Rattus norvegicus: one gene and its partners. The protein of the gene in region 2 interacts with the protein of the main gene of each other region in a pairwise test. Links are inferred from orthologs where the notes say so. Each region holds a gene or a part of one and is shown on either strand. Other genes may lie near its edges.

Evidence for each region.
Region 1: the proteins of Bnip3 (region 2) and Bcl2 interact in a two-hybrid assay, tested with the Homo sapiens proteins (2 studies listed by BioGRID and IntAct). The link is inferred for Rattus norvegicus from reciprocal best matches to the Homo sapiens genes BNIP3 and BCL2.
Region 3: the proteins of Bnip3 (region 2) and Clec7a interact in binary tests that used the Homo sapiens proteins (3 or more experiments, as listed by UniProt). The two-hybrid records come from large-scale screens. The link is inferred for Rattus norvegicus from reciprocal best matches to the Homo sapiens genes BNIP3 and CLEC7A.

The regions. Positions count from the first base shown.
Region 1 is NC_086031.1:23,364,016-23,368,267, reverse strand, and holds the start of Bcl2 (apoptosis regulator Bcl-2), read left to right. Parts: upstream 1-1,367; 5' UTR 1,368-1,603; coding exon 1,604-2,179; intron 2,180-4,252. UniProt on the Homo sapiens protein: Suppresses apoptosis in a variety of cell systems including factor-dependent lymphohematopoietic and neural cells. Regulates cell death by controlling the mitochondrial membrane permeability. Appears to function in a feedback loop system with caspases.
Region 2 is NC_086019.1:203,137,915-203,141,562, reverse strand, and holds part of Bnip3 (BCL2/adenovirus E1B 19 kDa protein-interacting protein 3), read left to right. Parts: intron 1-333; coding exon 334-440; intron 441-594; coding exon 595-744; intron 745-2,806; coding exon 2,807-2,852; 3' UTR 2,853-3,648. UniProt on the Homo sapiens protein: Apoptosis-inducing protein that can overcome BCL2 suppression. May play a role in repartitioning calcium between the two major intracellular calcium stores in association with BCL2.
Region 3 is NC_086022.1:164,596,950-164,601,239, reverse strand, and holds the start of Clec7a (C-type lectin domain family 7 member A), read left to right. Parts: upstream 1-1,412; 5' UTR 1,413-1,480; coding exon 1,481-1,556; intron 1,557-3,403; coding exon 3,404-3,502; intron 3,503-4,290.

The DNA of each region.
Region 1 (4,252 bases), on a different chromosome or scaffold from region 2:
TAACCCGGGCGGCAGGCGGGCGGCGGGCGGAGGCGGCGGGCGGGCGCTCAGAGGAGGGTTCTTTCTTCTTTTTTTGAATGAACGGTGACGTACGTACAGGAAACCAGGCGCTCCGACGGAGAATGAAGTAAGAGGCCGGGCCCCCCGCCCCGCGCCCGCCCCCTTCCTCCCCGGCCCGTCCTCCCGCCCCGCGTCCAGGTCCCCGCCGAGCCGCCGCCGCCAACACCGAGGTGCCCGGGCCCTCCCCAGCCGCAGCCGTCACCACGGAACGGGCTGCGCGGCGCGAGCACGAGGAGGCGGCCGCCAGCGCCGCCCGCAGCAGAGGAGGAGAAAGGGTGCGCAGCCCGGAGGCGGGGTGCGCCGGTGGGGTGCAGCGGAAGAGGGGGCCGGGGGGGGGAACTTCGTAGCAGTCATCCTTTTTAGGAAAAAGAGGGGGGGCAAACCCTCCCCCACCACCTCCTTCTCCCGCAGCGCACCACACACAGTGCGCGGGCTGCTCCTTGGGCACCGGCGGCCCCAGCGCGTCCTTGCCTGCATTTAGCAAGCTGCTTTTTTTCCCCTTTCGGAAAACGCATTGGCCCTTCGGAGTTTAATCAGAAGAGGATTCTGGTCCCCGTTCCCCGGCCACCGCTCCTCCATCGTCCCCCTGGCGTGTCTCTCCCCTGGAGGTCTGAAGCGGTCTGGTGGATACCGATCCATGCCTGCGCTCCAGCGTGTGTGTGCGCGAGTGTAAATTGGCGAGAAGAGGGGAGAATCACAGGACTTCTGCAAATACTGCAAATACTGAACATTGTAATTCATCTGCTGCCGCCGCCGCCGCCGCCGCCGCTGCCTTTTTGCCCCGCTGCGGTGCTCTTGAGATCTCTGGTTGGGATTCCTACGGATTGACATTCTCAGTGAAACCGGAGTGTGAGGACACAATTCTGATTTTTTTCTTCACCTATCCTCCAGACCCCAACTCCTGATTCATTGCAAGTTTCAAAGAAGCTTATACAAGGAGACTTCTGAAGATCGATGGTGTATTTGTATTTGTTTGGGTTTTACCAAAAAAAGGGGGGAAACTTGACAGAAGATCATGCGGTCCTTAGAAAATGCAGTAAGTTCTTTGCACAGGAATTTGGTTTGATGTAACTTTCAATGGACGCGTTTGAAATATTTTTTACTTAAAGTGCATTCGAGCAGATTTAATTCCCAGACAATTTAATGCATTTTCTTTAACGTGTAACTTGTAGCGGATATACCTTTCTTACAATAAATATATAAAGGAAAACACACCTGATTTTAACTGCTTACATCGTCCTGCCTCCTCACCTTTCAGCATTGCGGAGGAAGTAGATTGATATTAACCAAGCTTAATAAATAATGTGCCTCATGAAATAAAAAGCTGAAAGGAATTTGAATAAAAATTTTCTGCATCTCATGCCAAGGGGGAAACACCAGAATCAAGTGTTCGTCATAACTAAAGACACCCCTTCATCCAAGAATGCAAAGCACATCCAATAAAAGCGCTGGATTATAACTTCTTTTTTCTCTCTTTCGGGCCGTGGGGCGGGAGCCGGGACGCGAAGTGCTATTGGTACCTGCAGCTTCTTTCCCCGGAAGGATGGCGCAAGCCGGGAGAACAGGGTATGATAACCGGGAGATCGTGATGAAGTACATCCATTATAAGCTGTCACAGAGGGGCTACGAGTGGGATACTGGAGATGAAGACTCCGCGCCCCTGAGGGCTGCCCCCACCCCTGGCATCTTCTCCTTCCAGCCTGAGAGCAACCGGACGCCCGCTGTGCACCGAGACACGGCTGCCAGGACGTCGCCTCTACGGCCCCTTGTCGCCACCGCTGGGCCTGCGCTCAGCCCTGTGCCACCTGTGGTCCACCTGACCCTCCGCCGGGCTGGGGATGACTTCTCTCGTCGCTACCGTCGCGACTTTGCAGAGATGTCCAGTCAGCTGCACCTGACGCCCTTCACCGCGAGGGGACGCTTTGCCACGGTGGTGGAGGAACTCTTCAGGGATGGGGTGAACTGGGGGAGGATTGTGGCCTTCTTTGAGTTCGGTGGGGTCATGTGTGTGGAGAGCGTCAACAGGGAGATGTCACCCCTGGTGGACAACATCGCTCTGTGGATGACTGAGTACCTGAACCGGCATCTGCACACCTGGATCCAGGATAACGGAGGCTGGGTAGGTGCATGTCTGGTTGAATGAGTCTGGGCTTTGATCTCAAGGCGGGGATGCTCAGGTTGGGGTGTGAGTGGATTCTGGGTCAAAATGGGCCGTCGAGCCGATGAAATAAAATCGAGTTTGTGGCTTTGCTCCCCTGACCCCTCACCCCCTTCCTCTGGGTAGATCACGCCTTGCCAACCATGTGTTAACTCCTGCCCACTGGCTGTGAGAGAGCAAAGGTTCAGCATTTTTGATCCAGTAGGATTGGGAGATAAGTAGTATCCCTCCAGTGACTCAGAGTTACTTAGTCCAAGTAGCTTGCTGCAGATGTTTTGGGTCCTGTGTAGGAACCAGACCTCCAGTGCTCCCTCTTGACCAGTGCACCTTTAGTTCCTCTGGCGGACTAACAAACTTAAAAAGGTCCAACTAGACAAACAGGCTCCACCAGAGGACGCAGGCAAACCTTTTCTAACTCACTTGGGAACATTTTCCCGAAGAAAAACAATACAGCTGCTTTTCCTGGAAATCATAGCTAAGCTTGTAAAAAGGTAAGCTTAAGTATCCGTGGATGTTTGCGGAATCCAGTCAGTCTGTGCCATAGCCCCAGTGGGCACGGTCGTGGGTGCTTTGTCCATCGGTGAATCTGCAGGGATTTAGAAGTTTGCATCTGCTTCAATGTCTCTTACTTACCTCTACCTATAGTCTACATAGTTGTGCGATCTCCACTGAGTGGACTTATATCTAGGGTGCCTCTGAAAGGAGTGGTGGAGTCCACTTAGCTGGGGGGTCTCCAGCCCTGACAAGTTAAAATGATTTGTATCGAGCGCTTACCTAGGAAGCGCAAGGCCCTGGGTTCGGTCCCCAGCTCCGAAAAAAAGAACCAAAAAAAAAAAAAATGATTTGTATCCGTAACTTTGATGAGCATCTGTGGAGTGATTGTTTTCTGGTATCTTGGGAGGTCAAGCTTCCATATTTTACCATAGGATTTAAGCTTTTTCCTGGTTCTTCGCCGGCAGAGAGCAGACTCAAGGCTTGTTAGACCTAAAACAATTGAGTTATGAGAAAGCAGTAATTGTTGTCTGACTTTTTAAAAAAGAACTTGCATTAATGAAAAGGGTTTTCATTTTAGTCCTGCCTTGGTAGTATCAAGAGAAGAAGTAAAAAAAAAAAAAAAATTAGAACCTTACAGGGACAAAAAGCCTATAACTGGCTGAATGTGAACCAAATATCTAGAAGCACATTATGTTTTTACTACAGTTTGCAAGATGTGCTAATATTCATAGGTCCCGAAAAGGAAAAAGCCAGGAAAAATAGATGATTGATATGAACATCTGATCTTATTTGACCAATGTTGACAAAATATTGGTGGCACTGTTCAATGTTTAAAAGTAAAATTAACTCAAATATCAGAGTTTAAAGTGCCTGAAATTCACATGCTGTTTGTGAATTGCATGTTTGTTGACATCCCACAGGATCAGATTGTTAGTGGCGCTGGAAGACTTGGCTGAAGGACAGAAACTAATTTGTTAGATGTTGAGTTAAGTAGGTTTTTTTTTTTTTTTTTGCCACTCTATTCAAAGAGGTGGGAACTTCAGAATCATTTTAAAATCAAAGTAAAATTGATCTAGGATTATTATTTCATATTTCTATTAAAAAATAAATGTTTCTTTCTATTTGAAAGAAATCCAAAGCAGTGAATGTGTGGTGTTGATATCAAGTTAATAAAAAGGAGGGAAACAGGATTGTATGTTTCTGATAGAAATTCAGATACAACCTGACCCTTGGTGTCGACGTGCAGTGAGTTAACGTGCCAGACAGCTGAGCTTTCTCTTTAAATGAAGCGTCCCATTTTTCCGTGTTCATCATCAAGTTTTGGTCGTAGGGCATATCTTTGTGGTCAACAGGTATCTGAAGTTGATAAATGCATAGGCTTCATGTTATGAAGCCAAACCACAATGGCATATTGGAAGAGATGCTAAAAAAGTTTTTTTTTTTTTTGACAAAGCCTCTTAATAGTAAACGTAAGTCATATAGAACCACAAATGGATGATGGAAAAAAATGAAGTCTAATAGCTTTCAGAACAACACATG
Region 2 (3,648 bases):
ATGTGACCAGTTGTACAAATGAAGATTATAATTATGGAGTGTTTCTGTTGCATTTTGTTAAAAATGTGTTTATACAGATTTGTGTTTCCTTTACCCAATTTATCATGTAGTATCAGTTAAGAGAATATCAATGGTTATCATAGTTTAGTTTTAGATATTAAAAGAATTTCCCTGAAGGGACATTACCACCCAAATGCCTGAGTTTGTAATGCATTTACAGTTGTGGGGATAGTTAATACCATGTCAGGTGGGGTTCTGTTGAGCTTACTGACCTTAACTCTAGTGTGAATGTGAAAAACTCATCTGCTTTATTTAATACTTACTTTTCCTTAGTCTGAGGAAGATTATATTGAGAGAAGAAGAGAAGTTGAAAGTATCCTGAAGAAAAACTCAGATTGGATATGGGATTGGTCAAGTCGGCCAGAAAATGTTCCCCCCAAGTAAGTCTGTTTTCAACATTCTTTTTTTTTTTTTTTTTCGGAGCTGGGGACCGAACCCAGGGCCTTGCGCTTCCTAGGTAATGTTTTCAACATTCTTGGTCAAGGTTTTTCCTTTGACAAGGGGACACTGATTGGTACTTTCTTTATACCCTAGGGAGTTCCTTTTTAAACACCCGAAGCGCACAGCTACTCTCAGCATGAGAAACACAAGCGTTATGAAGAAAGGGGGTATTTTCTCAGCAGACTTTCTGAAGGTTTTCCTTCCATCTCTGTTACTGTCTCATCTGTTAGCCATTGGATTGGGGTAAGTGATGTTTCTATGAGAGTATGGATACCCTATGACAGGGTGGATGGATCTTGGTGATTCTAGCCCCCAGCAATTTATTTCTGCATTGTTTATGGAGAGAGATGATACTTCCAAGTCACTGTTAGGTCAGGTAAAAATCCTGAGCTATGGAAGGCCCTTGTCTTTCACAGGGGTTCTCATGCTGGGTCTCTTTCTTGTGCCACCTCTACAGTGGGTGGATGATCCTGTCTTTTGGCAGGAATAATTAATTAAGGCCTTCAGGTTTCTGCTTTTGTATCTAGTTTAGACTAAAACAGACCAGGGAATACAGCTGTGGCTTCTCTAGATGGGACCAATGCTAAAGAATGGGTCACCAAAGGGACACTATGTATTCTGGGCTGGCCGCACAGGGATGAGATTGGGTTTCAGATCTTCCTGTGTCTACCTCCTGAGTGCCGAGATTACAGATGTCTGCGTACCCAGCGCTATATAATATTATGGCTAAGCACTCTACCAGCTGAGCTACATCCCCAGGCCTTACTCTTCCTTAGGCCTATCTATACCCTCTGTCCATGTCAGGGTGAACTCACCCTGTATATGGAGAATGGCTGGGATGCCACTGTGGGCATCTGGCCCATGTTAGTTGGGGATATGTTTGGGACAGAAGGCTCTGTAGTCTGCTTATTCTTTTCCCCAAAAGCTGTCCTTGTGGCTGACACTCAGTTTGATCTCTTGGGATTTTGTGGGTCTCATAGGTACATGCGATCCCAGTCCTCCCTGCCCTTATCTTTCTGCACTGCAGACCCTCAGCATACCTACCTATAGAGCTGCCTATAGAAATGAGATGAAATGGCTGCCTGGGTGCCAGAGGCTCCTCCTAGCTTGCAGGGCTGGAGTCTTACCTGCCTTTACCACTCTCCATGTGTAGTTCTCTCCTGGTGCTTGGTCTCACGGACGACAGGTTCATCCCCATCACCTGGGGCAAGCAGTAGGGTTCAGTGGCAATTGGGAAGCACAGGCAGGGGAATCCCTGAATTATAGGCCAGAGTTACTTATTGAGATCTGGTCTCAAAACACAAAATAGAACAGGACCAGCAAGGGGAAAAAACTTGTGGACAGGGCCTAGGAATTTGTGTGTTCAGTCTCCAAGCTGAGTTTTCTCTTCACAGAATCATTTCTGGATCTACTGTCTCTGTCCTTCATACTTCCCAGTCTCAGAACTTGATGTCATCTCTACCCAAGATCTCTTGGCAATTTCCAGTCTTTCATGAACACTGCCCTCTTTAGTTCAGATAGTTCACTGCCCAGTCTTATTTCTTCCCAGTCTGCACAGACCTGGCCAGGTGGAATTCTTTCCAGTCATTTGCCTTCCTGATTGCAGAGAAGGGAGGCTTCATTACTTATTCCTTGGTTAGGCTTTGAGGTTAGTGGTAATGAACTGGATATGAAGCCAGCCTGCCCTTGCCCTTCAGCAGTGTGGCTCGTTTGGTATACAGAAGGGAATGCGAAGCTGTATATAATACTGATAGAATGTGGAATTGGTTTGTACTTAGATTTGAACCTGGGACCTGGTACATGGTAGACAGACACTCCGAAATTGAATTTCAACTCCTATTGTTAATAGTATTTTTTTTTTTGTACATTCAATCTCTTGCACCACTAGAATAATTGAAACAATTGAAATTAAATTTTAAGTAAGAAAAATTAGACCAATATGAAATACATATTAGATGACTAAAAACACTTGATAAAGGTTGCAGACAGTAGGGCTGGAGAATGGCTCAGTGGTTAAGAGCACTGCTTGTTTATCTGGAGAACTTGGGTTTAAGTCCCAGCACCTACATGGCAGCTCTAGTTCCAAGGATCTGACACCCTCACACAGAGATATATGTAGGCAAAACACCAATGCTCATAAAAATAATAAAATCATAAACAGGAGAAAAGATTACAGTCATACTTTATCAAGGGTAAGGTAGCTAGCTAGGTCCCCTCTAAAAGCTGTGGCCATGGCCTGTTTGGGCCATGTGAAGTCACCTGAGAATTGTGAGACCTGACTGATTGCCATCCCTTTCCTCTCTAGGATCTACATTGGAAGGCGTCTGACAACTTCCACTAGTACCTTTTGATGAGACTTGGATCTGCCTTCTGCTCACACAGTGAGGATTCACGCTGAGCTGTGACAGCTAATTGAAGAGCTAGCATGATCCTTGGGTGTCTGCACTATGTGTGTTTATTTGTTTTGTAAATGCGGTGTTCCTGATTTAGTGAGACAGAATAGACTCTTACCACGACCTATAATTATACCTATGGGATCAATTAATAAGCATGTCAGACTGATGCCTATTGTAGCATTTATTAGTAAATTTCTTTGAATATATTAGATATAAATAGTATAAATAATTTTAATATAGTAGCAATAGTGTATTTAAAAATGATCTGTAATTGTAATCCAGTTAAGACACCTTACACTTCAAAAGAATGACTTAAGTGATATTAAAATCATTAAAGGGTTTTCCCCAAAGGAATTCTGTGGCCTTATAATCCTATTATGTAGTAGAAAATTAAAGGGTGTGGGTTATTTGTAAAGGCCTCTTACTTTATGAATTCAGTAGCAAGGAGAGACTAAGGTTACCCACAAACTCCACTTTGCAGTCCCCCTCTTCTTGCTTGCAGGATGAGGATTCCAGCCTTGCTGTCCACCATTACCTTGGGTGGGCAGTTGTGTTACGCCTTTATCTCTCTGCTGAGTGAAGTTCTACGGTTTGTACTTAAATTTTGTGTGCTTTTAAAATCAGCTGTATTGTAAGCAAATCTGTCTACTTTAAAAGACTGGAAATGAAAAAAATCTTTGCCAAATTCTTTGGAGAATACTGGATTTGCATATGAATTAATCAGTATCCAGCACTTGTGTTAAATCAGGCG
Region 3 (4,290 bases), on a different chromosome or scaffold from region 2:
AGATATGTTTGGGATTTGCAATGTAGTATATTTCCTCTGTCCTTGGCATGGGAAGTCCACTACCCTGAACAGTCTTCTCAAGGGCAAACTTTTGAGGGTGGTCATCCTTGCTCGTCATCCCAGTGTCTGGGAGTTGGAGGTGAGTACATTGCTCCAAGGTGTACCACTGACTCAAGTCCTAAAGATGAGGAGGAGTTTCTTAGTTTAGCAAGTGCCAATTGACAAGTCCTGGTGAAGCCTCACTCTGGATGTCCCTTTACCACCACAGCTTCTTTTCATTAGCACACTCCGGCCTTGAAAAAGTCTCCAAATTTTGTTTTGTGGACTCTGACTTCAGCTCGAACTTTCTTCTTCAATGCAACGGTATCCTTAAACTAAGTCTGTCCTCATTTCTTTGATATCCTCCTTGTTGACCTATAGCAGTAATCAAATGATAGTTGTTTCCCAACTTGACTGATTTGATCACATTTTATTAATGTGTGAACTGCAAGAGAGGAGAGAGAGAGAGAGAGAGAGAGAGAGAGAGAGAGAGAGAGAGAGAGAGAGAGAGAGAGAGATGGAGAATTTAGCCTTATGTTTCAGTCAATTATATGCATCATAAAAAGTCCAGAAAAATGAAGCCAGTGCAACGGTAAACAATTCCAAGTCTTAAAATCTTAGGAGACTTCGTTCTAGTCCCTTGTTCTATTTTGAAATTCCTGTCTTCTGAGAATCCATGTTTTTTCTCCTTATTTGAAAATAGTAGGGCTAATATGTACTGAAGTACAAGTCTTGAGGGGGAGACAGAATGAGAAAGCATTGTGCTCTGTTGTACAGAAGACAGAGTCACTACCAATAAATGTTTACTCCTTTCTTAAGCCTCAAAGAGAATCATTCGCTTTATGTTGCCAGAGTAATGTACCTTAGGTACTCATCCATGGTTTCCTCCCTGAGGTAAGAAACTTCTTTGTAGATAACCTTCTTGCAAATGTTGCCAACTCCTGGCCATTATCGAGTATTTAATACATACATATGTAAGGTATGGGCACATGAAAGGATGTGTGCATGCCAGCAGAGTTCTAACAAACCAATGTTGAATTCAAGATACCCAAACTGCTTAACAGTTTACCTATGGCCATACCAATTGACCGTGTCAGTTTCAATGGGGAGTGTAACAGAGGTCTTTTAAGATTATAATCTACATACAGGCATGGAGGTGATCACAAAATACCACACATTTCAGTTTTCTTGAGAAATGCCAGCCCCAGAAACAGGATCTAGAGGCAAAAGGGGAAATTACTCCAACGTGCTTTTCATTTCCTGCTTTGGGCACTGGCTAGACTACGTAGGCTGAGCTCCATGAACCTCAGGGAAGGGGCTCTTTCAGGGTTTGGTTTAGAGATCCTCATCCTGGTAGTTATTTTGCTGGGAAAGAACATTCAAGTGCTCTGCCTACGTAGAGTCCTGTGAAGCAGTGGAATATCATTCTCAAATAGAGAACATGGACGAAGATGGATATACTCAATTAGACTTCGGCACTCGAAACATCCACAAAAGACCTGTAAAATCAGAGAAAGGTATCCACTTTCTTTCTGCTAATAGTACCTTCATTCTTATTTAGTGAAATAACAGAAGTAGAGACCTGGAGAGACTCTTGATTTGTAGGACTTCCTACAAAAATATATTTTCATATATATATATATATGTATATATATCATATATGGTATATATATGGTATATATTTGGTATATGTATAGTATTTATTTGATATATATTTGATATATAGTATATATTTGATATATATTTGGGATATCAAGAGATAGATAGATAGATAGATAGATAGATAGATAGATAGATAGATAGATAGATAGATAGATTTGCATATAGTGCAGTGACTTCCACAAACTGCTTTTAGTTTGTGGCAGAAAACAGGACTAGTCCACTCTGCGGTCATAGTTACTTCTTCGGTGGGAAGTGACACTTGTAACATGAGTAAAGGAGAAAAATGAAAGAATTTTAATAGAGTTGCTTTTTGTTTGCCTTTTAGTAACTCGTGAGGGGGCCAGGAAACAGATAAACAAACAAACTGTACAATCGTACAACATTCGATGCTAAAGTGGTAGGGGATAAAACCATGGAGGAATATGTGGCAAATAAAAATGAATGCATTCAAGAGAAGCTAGGAGTCAAAGGATTTTAAATCCCGAATATAATATACTTTTTTGTTAAGAGATTAATTTGGATTTTATAAAATGGGAAGTTAGTCAGTAATGAAAAAGACATGCTACATCAAAATGTCTCATTATCAGGAGATATATATTAAAACAGAAACAAGACAAGAATAGAGGATATTAAAGCATCTCCTCATAAAGTGAGTGTTTTAGTCTCTTTCCGGGTCACCTCTTGGGCAGCTCTATGACTTGGTTTCCTGCTGGTGGTGTCATAAGCGTAAAACAAAGTCAGCTAGAGCTCCCAAGGACTAAGCCACCAACCAAAGAGTACACATGGGGGAACCTTTAGATCCAGTTACAGATATGGCAGAGAATGGCATTGTCTGCCATCAATAGGAAGAGAAGCCCTTGGTCCTGTGAAGACTCTTTTCTCTGGTGCAGGGGAATGCCAGGGTGTTGGGGTGGGAGTGGGTGGGAGGGAGGGGGAGCATCCTCATAGAAGCAGGGGGAGGAGGGGTGGAAGAGGGGAATAACATCTGGAATGTAAATATATGAACTATCCAATAAGAAATAAAAAATAAAAACAAAGTCAGTTCACTGTTAAAGGAAGAGTTGACTCACAGGTTCTAACATCAGTTGGCTTTCTTCTGCTTTTTGGTGTTCACATTATGCAATTATTTTCCTCTTATAACCACATACACAATTCCTTTCTTGTGAAATTTGCTTGGAAAATAGTACAGAAGTTAATTGACGGAAGGGGCAAGGCTTATATGCTTATGCTGTGAAAATTAAAGTGCTCACTATCAACAACGGTATTCGAAGGTGCTATTGATCCAATTTCAAACCTGGAAGATAAAAACAAAAATTTAAAAAGGACATAGAGAAAATAAGTTGCTTAAATCATGCATCATATAAATGAGAAGAAAAAGCTGTCCTTAGCAGTTGGTGCTGCTTCTTCTACAGAAAGCTGTTTGATTTATAACCAAGTAGGACTTCAGGGAATGAATAATGCCCAGGCCTATAGAATAGCCTGTGAGCCTACTATGACCATGATACCATAGCAGAAGGAAGAGAGGAAGAAGCAACCTGAATCTGGAGGACAATGGAGACTCACACTGCAATTCTAGAGTCTCAAGTTGGTAGAGCCTAGTGGCTGCTGATCCTTTTAGAACCATCCCCATTTCAGTGAGCTGAGCTGTTGAAGAGTTCCACAGTCTTCCCTCATTTTCTTTCTCATCTCATTGACTTTCCAGGAAGCCCAGCTCCATCTTCTCGTTGGCGGTCCATTGCGGTAGCTTTAGGAATCCTGTGCTTGCTCACAGTAGTGGTCGCAGCAGTGCTGGGTGCCCTAGGTGAGTATGGGTGAGGGAGGTTGATAAAGGCACGGACAGTGATTATGAAATTAATTTATGCCAGGCACTCTCTCAAGGGGTTGGCGTGTATAACTTCATTTAATCCTTACATTAACCCCATTGGGTTTGTGCTATTAATTTGTCTCAGTTATAGGAGAATTTAGAAATTGGAAGATTAACTCTTCCATAGTTATAAGCTAGTCAGTGGTGGAATTATAAGAAATGTAGAAAATCTGCTTCATAAAACACATACTTTTCAGTATATTGCTCTACTGTTCTACATAGATAGGTGACTTTTTTTAAAGTGGAATTTAAAGTATAAGTTAGTGGAGGGAAACTTGCAGAGCCAAAAGAAACACAATCTTCCTTAGAAGACAGCTATATTAAGTTAAAATGAGTTGTGTGTAATTTTTTTGAAAGCCTCATGATACATGGGAATTATCTTACACATGATCTTTAATAAAGAATATCTTAACTTTACCAAGTATTGCCTGAGGCACTGAAAAATTACTAAGCAGATGCTTTGTGAAGACTTAATAGATCTCTTTAGGTTTCTATATTTCGTGAATCCTATGCCGATAAAGTTATATGATACCTTCAAAGAACCTTCGTCACTTATTAGTCAAATGCTTGCTGAGAACAGAGACATTCTATGTATTCCATGTTTGGTAACTCTCAGATTGCTAGCTAGCATTTTGAAGTAATTGAAGAAAGCAAAAGGTATTACTTTGTTAAATTATTATTTAAAATTGTTTACAATTCACAGTTAGATCTATGTCATTTTCTTT